Linked DNA regions of Kluyveromyces lactis. The protein of the gene in region 2 binds, or shares a complex with, the protein of the main gene of each other region. Links are inferred from orthologs where the notes say so. Each region holds a gene or a part of one and is shown on either strand. Other genes may lie near its edges. The genes, in order: LSM5, LSM6 and LSM1.

Region 1 (2,118 bases), about 670 kb from region 2:
ATGTAATCTGTCAATAGTAGAGTAGCTAGGTTCTTCTTCTGATGTTGTGGAGCAATGACGACAGAATGCACTCCAATGACAGGAGAAGAATCGTCTTGTGTGAAACTCATGCTTTCGTTGGTAATAAAAGTTAATTCCTTGGTACCGTTTTTTGGGATGGGGATCTTGGTACCAAAGATATGGCCAATCAACTTTTCTCCCAAAATCTCAGTGCCTTTAACGTCTCTAATGAAAAGACCCGAGCTCAATTCGGGGCACATCTTCAATCTGAATTCGATCTTCTCCTTTCCAGCCCTTTCTTCAGGTGGGAAGCCTTGTGCCTCTAGCTCTACTGATGCTTGGCAATCTTCTATCGTTAATGGTCTAATATAAACATGCAGTGGCAATGACGATGACATAGTGAAAATTCTTTTCTGATTTTATAATACTTAATAATGATTTCCTAATGTTGTTTCTTCAATTCTAGCCACAATAATACAATTATTTGCTCCTTATTCTAGTTTGCTTCTAAAATCAATCGAACCTTATTATCAACAATGGTATTCAACTCCTAGACCAATTGATTTTATCAACTAGTGTTAGACAGATATGATGTCTTTGTGAACTGCTCAATAACGGAAGTGATAGTCTTGTGAGATGTGTGTCTATATGTATTTGTTATCCTTATCCTTATCATCATATGTAAAACCTTAGTATATATGATTGATATTGCAATTGAATTGTTATTTTGATATTGTACAAAGGAGAAACAACAGTTGCGGCAAGAATATAGAAATTACGCACCACTTGGTAGGAATTTGTGAGTGATAACCAAATCTAAAGTTGACAGAACCTGTAAATACCGGACTGGCAAGTTGAATGGTCACCAGAGGCTTAATCTTGGACCAGAACGCCAATCATCACAGCTGGTGAACAGTGTCTCAGGGACACCTGATGTTCGTGTTTAGTGAGATGTCATGTGACCCGTACCGTCCGTTCCTAGCGAAATTGCATGTTGTTTAAGCCTTTGTAGCCAACAGCACCATCAAGTCGATGCCAATAGATACAACATTCTTGGCCTACCTTGTAGCAGCTTTTAAGGCTTTTTATGGGCTCATTTCTTTACTTTATTGCCTTCTTTCGGCCAACTACGCTTACTTTCACCATACAATCACATATTGAGAGAGCTTTGAAAGTTTCAAGAAATAAGTACCTTTGATCAAAGAGATAAAGCTGTGAGCTGACGACAACTACTGTCTATTAGTATCATTAGACTATTAAAACCTCCTGCTCTACTACTGCATCAACACATATTTATAAAACGACGGGATATGAGTAGTGTTTCAGAGATTTTGCCCCTAGAGGTCATTGACAAAACAATAGGACAGGAAGTGACCATTCTACTTAAAGATTACAGAGAATTCTTTGGTACGCTAGTAGGGTTCGATGATTACGTTAATGTTGTCATTGAAAATGCGGTAGAGTATTTGGAAGACCAGGAGATTAAAAGATTCCAGGGAAAGATGTTATTGACTGGTAACAACATTGCTATGTTGATACCTGGTGGAAAACCTGCTTCAAATTAAACAATGGAACTGCATATTGATGTTCAAAACGAAATCTGTAACATGCATGCTGTTTTTTTCTCTCTCAGATGTTTGGTATTGATATATTGACTAACATCCTTTGTAAGTATATATTATATATTTTATATGTAAAATAATTATCATATTGAAGTGCAGCTTATACAAAAAATGAATCAATGCAAACGTACGAGACGTTTGATATACCGTATCCGAAGGTTTGTTGATTTTTGTTGTTCAACTATATCATGCCAAGGGATCGAAAAACCATTCGATCTTAGTGTTTTCAAAAACTCTCATACCCATAGTTTTTGACTCTTTCATTTTGTCCAAGGTAGGATCAGCCCTGGTTATTAGCCAAGGCTTGATAACTTTTGGTTGCAAGACGTATTTGTTGATCAAGATGTATGAGATTACAGCATAAACGGCACCGACGAATAAATCGTATCTGAAATGGTGATCCAAATATTGGGTTGACCACCATTGTAAGCATACGAAAATCGTACCCAAAAATTTTGGTAACAGACCTTTATGGAAAATGTAGAGCCATTTGGAC
Region 2 (2,279 bases):
TCATGACAAGTTATACAGAATAACCCTTTCTTTGTCTTTGCATACCTAAGATCGTTAATTTTTTCACCACATTTGCAACATTTGAAACATTCAGAACAATAAGCTTCATTCGATGATGCAAGAATGATAGCCAAATCATCGATCTTCTTACCGCAATTTTTGCATGAGTCCGAGCACTCGAAACATATGAGATCACTTGTACCCAGAACTAAGAAATCCGAGTCACAACTTAGAGGCTTATCACATTTGTAGCAGGAGAAACAGTGGGTGTGCCATCTATTTCCGCCTAATTCGTACGCATGACCCATAGTAATATGGTTCGTACAACGAACACATACTGACGTCTCAGCAGCCCCCTTCGGAGAGGCAGACATACGGTAATTAGTTTTGCAGATGTAGCACGCTGTGGAGGTGATGGTCTTGTAGTGTGTTCGTTTGTCCCTGGATCAATAACTTTTTGATCTAATGGATCAAAAGCTGAAAAGAAATCTAAGATTAATCTTCGAATCGAAAGTATAATAATAACAGAACACGCACAAAGAGCACGACACACCAAAAAAAAAAAAAAGTTAATAGAGAGATGTATTAGCAGCGGCTTTATACTATGATATTTTCTTGCCACGCACCGTTAGAGAGTACTATATAAGGGAAAAGAATTCCAAGCTGTTCCTCGTGGACGGAGTAAATTCCCTCAATATGAATGTTGAGATCGAAATATAGATACGAGGGTTCAATTAACTCAAGGAATGTTTTGATCGAGAGTGAATGCAGCCCTATCTTGTTAAAATCCGAAACGTTTGAAGCGAGTTGATATAAATAAATCGTGTCTCAATCTTGATTATATATATGTACAATCGGTCCTAACCAGTGCTAAATATGGAAGTCAATTAGATAGGGAAACGTAAACAGCACACCACGTCAATTATATTCTAGCTGAATTGATATAGCATATCTATCAGCTGCAGAGAGCCACTAAGGTAAATTAGTGCTGTCTCTCAACGGTTTCGAAATGTATATATGCATTGAAACAAAATCAGGAACCAGGTTTGAGAATGTTTGAACTATGTGGTGTGCAGGCGTGATTTGGAGTTCAGTTTCTTTGTTTCAAGGTCTTAGAGTTCGAAGATTTTGGCTAAAATTGGAGTCAAAGAATGCTGGTTGTTGTCGGAATGTATCCAGGAAGAACCTTTGACATTTGTTTCCAAGCTAGAGCAATATATTACTATAATCTGCGCTGTTCCCTTCCATTCATTTAATTAATTAATTTATTACTTACTGCATATCACTTAATTCACTTTACCACAGATCACGTGACTAGAACATTCTTTCCCTTTTACTTCAACGTGAACAATGAAAAGTGAACTTTGTTAATATAACGTTGAACTGATGGAGAATGATGAGAGTAGGTTCAGATGCAAGAACTACAGGCTTCTTCATATCTTTATTTCGACGCTACCAAATTTCAAAGGCATAGATTGTTAACACATCATGGAATCTAAGGCAACGGCTTCTGGCTCCTTTTTGGAGAACATCATTGGAAAACCAGTATACGTCAAGCTATTCTCAGGAATATTGTATCAAGGTAAGCTAGAATCAATTGATGGGTTTATGAACGTCACAATGTCACAAGTGTCGGAACATTATGAGGCAGAAGAGAACGGAACTTTGCATAAATATCCTTCTGAAGTATTTCTAAGGGGATCGCAGGTGTTATACATTAGCGAAAAATAGGCTTCGATTGGGCAATAAGATTGACTTCGACCAATGACTTTTGTAAGTCGATATTATAAAGTGTCCTATTTGCTCAGAAGCTCAATAACTACAATAATATGATAATACTAATAATAATTTATATACAAAAGTATATAATTGTATACTATAAAGATGGAACGTTATCAAAGCGGAAAGTGTTAAAAAATACTACGATGCACATATATAAAGCACCAAAGCATACATAAATTTAAATTCTGATTTTATTTTAAAATAATAAGAATATGTAGATATCTAATACAATAATAATATATATTAACCTTGTACCAGTGAGTTATACATTACTCTTTTCAAATTTTTATATCATGATTCTTAAAAGAGAAAATTTATTGTCATATCGTTAGAGAAAAGGAGATCAAAGAGGTTCCTTTCGTAGTTTCTTATTTATTCTGTGATAAAGAAAGCTTTCAGATCAAACAAACCGCGAACCTCATATCATGTTGTAGTTTTTTTTTGAGAATATATTAAAGAGAATAGAAGGTGGAACAAGTGAGGGCTGTACCATTCTT
Region 3 (2,498 bases), about 1.1 Mb from region 2:
TCCGAAGCCGATTCTAACACTGTTTTGATCGACGCATCGAGACAAAACAACTTCCATTTCATTGTCATCTTGAAAGACATAAGTAATGATATCTTGCTAATAGTGAGATCCCAAGGTTACCCCTCCAAATGGGCCAAATGGTTACAATCCGATGCACTAAGCGATGAGGAATCCACAGAAAAAATCGACCCAAGTGATTGGGTGAAACCATGGATATCCGAAGGTCTTGATCTAACTTTCGGTATTCTTGCCCAACAATACGTCATAAGCAGAATGAATTTGTGAAGTGTCTTTTACATACATATTTTAAAACCCTAATTACTGTTATTAATCATCATTATTATACTCCCATATCAGTTTTTTGGTAACCATTTCTCTTTCAACGATTGAACCGTCGTGCCTAATACAGCTTTTTCCCAGTCAACCCATAAGCTCGTCTGTTTATTCCAAGACCCATTCTCGACACATTTCTGCAATGGTGACCCAAATAGTGGATCCTCAGCAGCTTTTTTCAAAAGAGATTCCGTCTTAGGAATCTGTTCCATTAAGTCGGGCTTATCAATTTTTGCCAAATATTCCAATTGATCTCTAGTAGGGAATTTCTGGCATATTTCAATGTTGATTTTGTTCTTGTGGTTCGATTTTAATGCCGTTAGAAGATTTTGAGCATGAGATGATTCTAATTTGTGTGTGAATAATGTCACTACGCGAGGTTGAAATTGGATGGTTTTAAACATAGACATGATGAATTGAAGATACTGATTGTCAATGTCCCCCTCTATAAAAAATTCGAACTTTTACTCAGTTAAATACTTCAGTCTAATTAAGTCAGGTCACCCCAGTAATTGTTGCTGCCTTTATATACGCAATACTAAATTAAGACATCTTTGAAATATGTACATTTTGGAAATCATACTATTATCCCTCAAATACGCATGGCAGGGAAACAAAATCCCGGAAAATCCAGCAATCAATACTATGATACGGAGTCATGACGTCCCTACTTAGTATCCGGATTGGCAGCACCTTTCACCTACTTGGAAACAGAATCATCAAGCTAACCATTTGTGCCTTGTCTGTGCAATGACTATGCGGTCCTGTAGCAAAGGTAGTCATCCTATAGTTACCCTGCCTCAACGTTACCATACATTTTTTTTCTTCAATTCGTTTCAGCTAGCTCAACATCAAATGGAATTGCAATGAACTGCCAAAAAGATGAATCGTTGGACGCTTTAACGGCCTATTTATCCTTCAAGTGATACCCAGAACTATCACAATCAGTGTTGAATTTTACAATTCATTATAATCTTTTTTTTTTTTTTCACTTGCTCATTGAAAGAATCAGAGTCTCAAATTACAAATGTCCTCTTCGTCTCCGAATAGCGACAGAGCAAGTTCAGTAGGAGTTACTGAACCAGTGGCTTCCGATGTGGAAGAAAATCGTCCTAAGTCCAAGCTATCAGAAGGTGAAGCAGATTTATATTTGGACCAATACAATTTCACAACTACAGCTGCCATTGTTGGCTCAGTAGACCGCAAGATATTCGTACTATTGCGCGATGGCCGTATGTTCTTCGGTGTACTAAGGACGTTTGATCAATATGCCAACTTAATACTACAGCATACGGTGGAAAGAATATATATCGAGGGTGAGAATAAATATGGTGAATGTGACAGAGGAGTTTTCATGATAAGAGGTGAAAACGTTGTTATGTTGGGCGAAGTAGACATCGATAAGGAGGATGCACCATTGGAATCGATGGAACGTGTTCCATTTGAGGAAGCTGAAAGCTATAAGGAGAAAATGGACGAGGTGAAATACAAGGAGAACACTGCTAAGGGTAAGAGACTAGCGCAGCTTGGTTTAACTACCGATTTCAATAAAGGTGATTTGTATTAAGTATAAGATTATAATTAGTTTAAAAGACAAGCAAAAAAAAATCGTAAAACATACAATTCGAAACTAAACTAAACTAAACTAAATCATTACACAAACTGGAGATCGTGTGGTTTTGAAGGGTATTTATCTTTTGATACTCAATTATATATCACATAGAGATATATATATTCACTTATATATGGTTCGGTACTGTACTATTCATAATAAGTAAAATGCATAGATAGCGCGGCATGGCATTCCAAAAAAAAAAAAAAAAAAATTAATGGGACAATAATCCCCATTTGACATAAAATAGAACCATTATAACGGTCAAAATTAATTCTTAACTAACGGATCAACTCATTTGCCAGCGAGCGTCGTTAATTCTTGATCGTATGTCTTTTGAAATTTGTTATAATTACTGATTTCCAACCTCCCCAGTTGTGATATTAATGATTCGTCCGGCGTATCATTAATTCTTAGCGATCGACTCACTTGCCACATATGTGACAAGGGTGTTTGTGTTGAACAGAGTCCGTAACATCCATGCAACTGGATAGACCAATCCACCAGTGACGAGATTTCCTTTGGTGTCACGGCTTTCACCATCCCAATTTCT

The links.
Region 1: the proteins of LSM6 (region 2) and LSM5 are in contact, whole or in part, in a crystal structure (PDB 4M78), measured with the Saccharomyces cerevisiae proteins. The link is inferred for Kluyveromyces lactis from reciprocal best matches to the Saccharomyces cerevisiae genes LSM6 and LSM5. Residues at the interface, in NP_010666.2 of Saccharomyces cerevisiae: Val11, Thr12, Phe15, Leu16, Asp18, Asn25, Lys27, Leu33, Met45, Glu57, Ser58, Asn59, Val78, Met79, Tyr80, Ile81, Ser82, Glu83, Gln84; in NP_011073.1 of Saccharomyces cerevisiae: Leu24, Arg28, Phe30, Val35, Phe37, Asp38, Asn42, Ile44, Glu50, Leu52, Val64, Met65, His67, His68, Gly69, Arg70, Met71, Leu72, Leu73, Ser74.
Region 3: the proteins of LSM6 (region 2) and LSM1 are in contact, whole or in part, in a crystal structure (PDB 4M75), measured with the Saccharomyces cerevisiae proteins. The link is inferred for Kluyveromyces lactis from reciprocal best matches to the Saccharomyces cerevisiae genes LSM6 and LSM1. Residues at the interface, in NP_010666.2 of Saccharomyces cerevisiae: Ser30, Leu32, Tyr56, Leu64; in NP_012411.1 of Saccharomyces cerevisiae: Ala158, Arg159, His160, Gly161, Val163, Asp165.

Annotation. Positions count from the first base shown.
Region 1 is NC_006041.1:902,648-904,765, reverse strand, and holds LSM5 (RNA-binding protein LSM5), read left to right. Parts: upstream 1-1,310; coding exon 1,311-1,565; downstream 1,566-2,118. Other genes in the region: PAA1 (polyamine acetyltransferase), read right to left, coding at 1-398; IPT1 (inositolphosphotransferase), read right to left, coding at 1,809-2,118. UniProt on the Saccharomyces cerevisiae protein: Component of LSm protein complexes, which are involved in RNA processing and may function in a chaperone-like manner. Component of the cytoplasmic LSM1-LSM7 complex which is involved in mRNA degradation by activating the decapping step.
Region 2 is NC_006041.1:232,612-234,890, reverse strand, and holds LSM6 (U4/U6-U5 snRNP complex subunit LSM6), read left to right. Parts: upstream 1-1,488; coding exon 1,489-1,731; downstream 1,732-2,279. Other genes in the region: GTPase-activating protein RGA2, read right to left, coding at 1-374. UniProt on the Saccharomyces cerevisiae protein: Component of LSm protein complexes, which are involved in RNA processing and may function in a chaperone-like manner. Component of the cytoplasmic LSM1-LSM7 complex which is involved in mRNA degradation by activating the decapping step.
Region 3 is NC_006041.1:1,347,997-1,350,494, forward strand, and holds LSM1 (Lsm1p), read left to right. Parts: upstream 1-1,360; coding exon 1,361-1,900; downstream 1,901-2,498. Other genes in the region: DUF5427 domain-containing protein MTC1, read left to right, coding at 1-285; FMP46 (putative redox protein), read right to left, coding at 354-743; KLLA0_E15181g (uncharacterized protein), read right to left, coding at 2,240-2,498. UniProt on the Saccharomyces cerevisiae protein: Component of the cytoplasmic LSM1-LSM7 complex which is involved in mRNA degradation by activating the decapping step.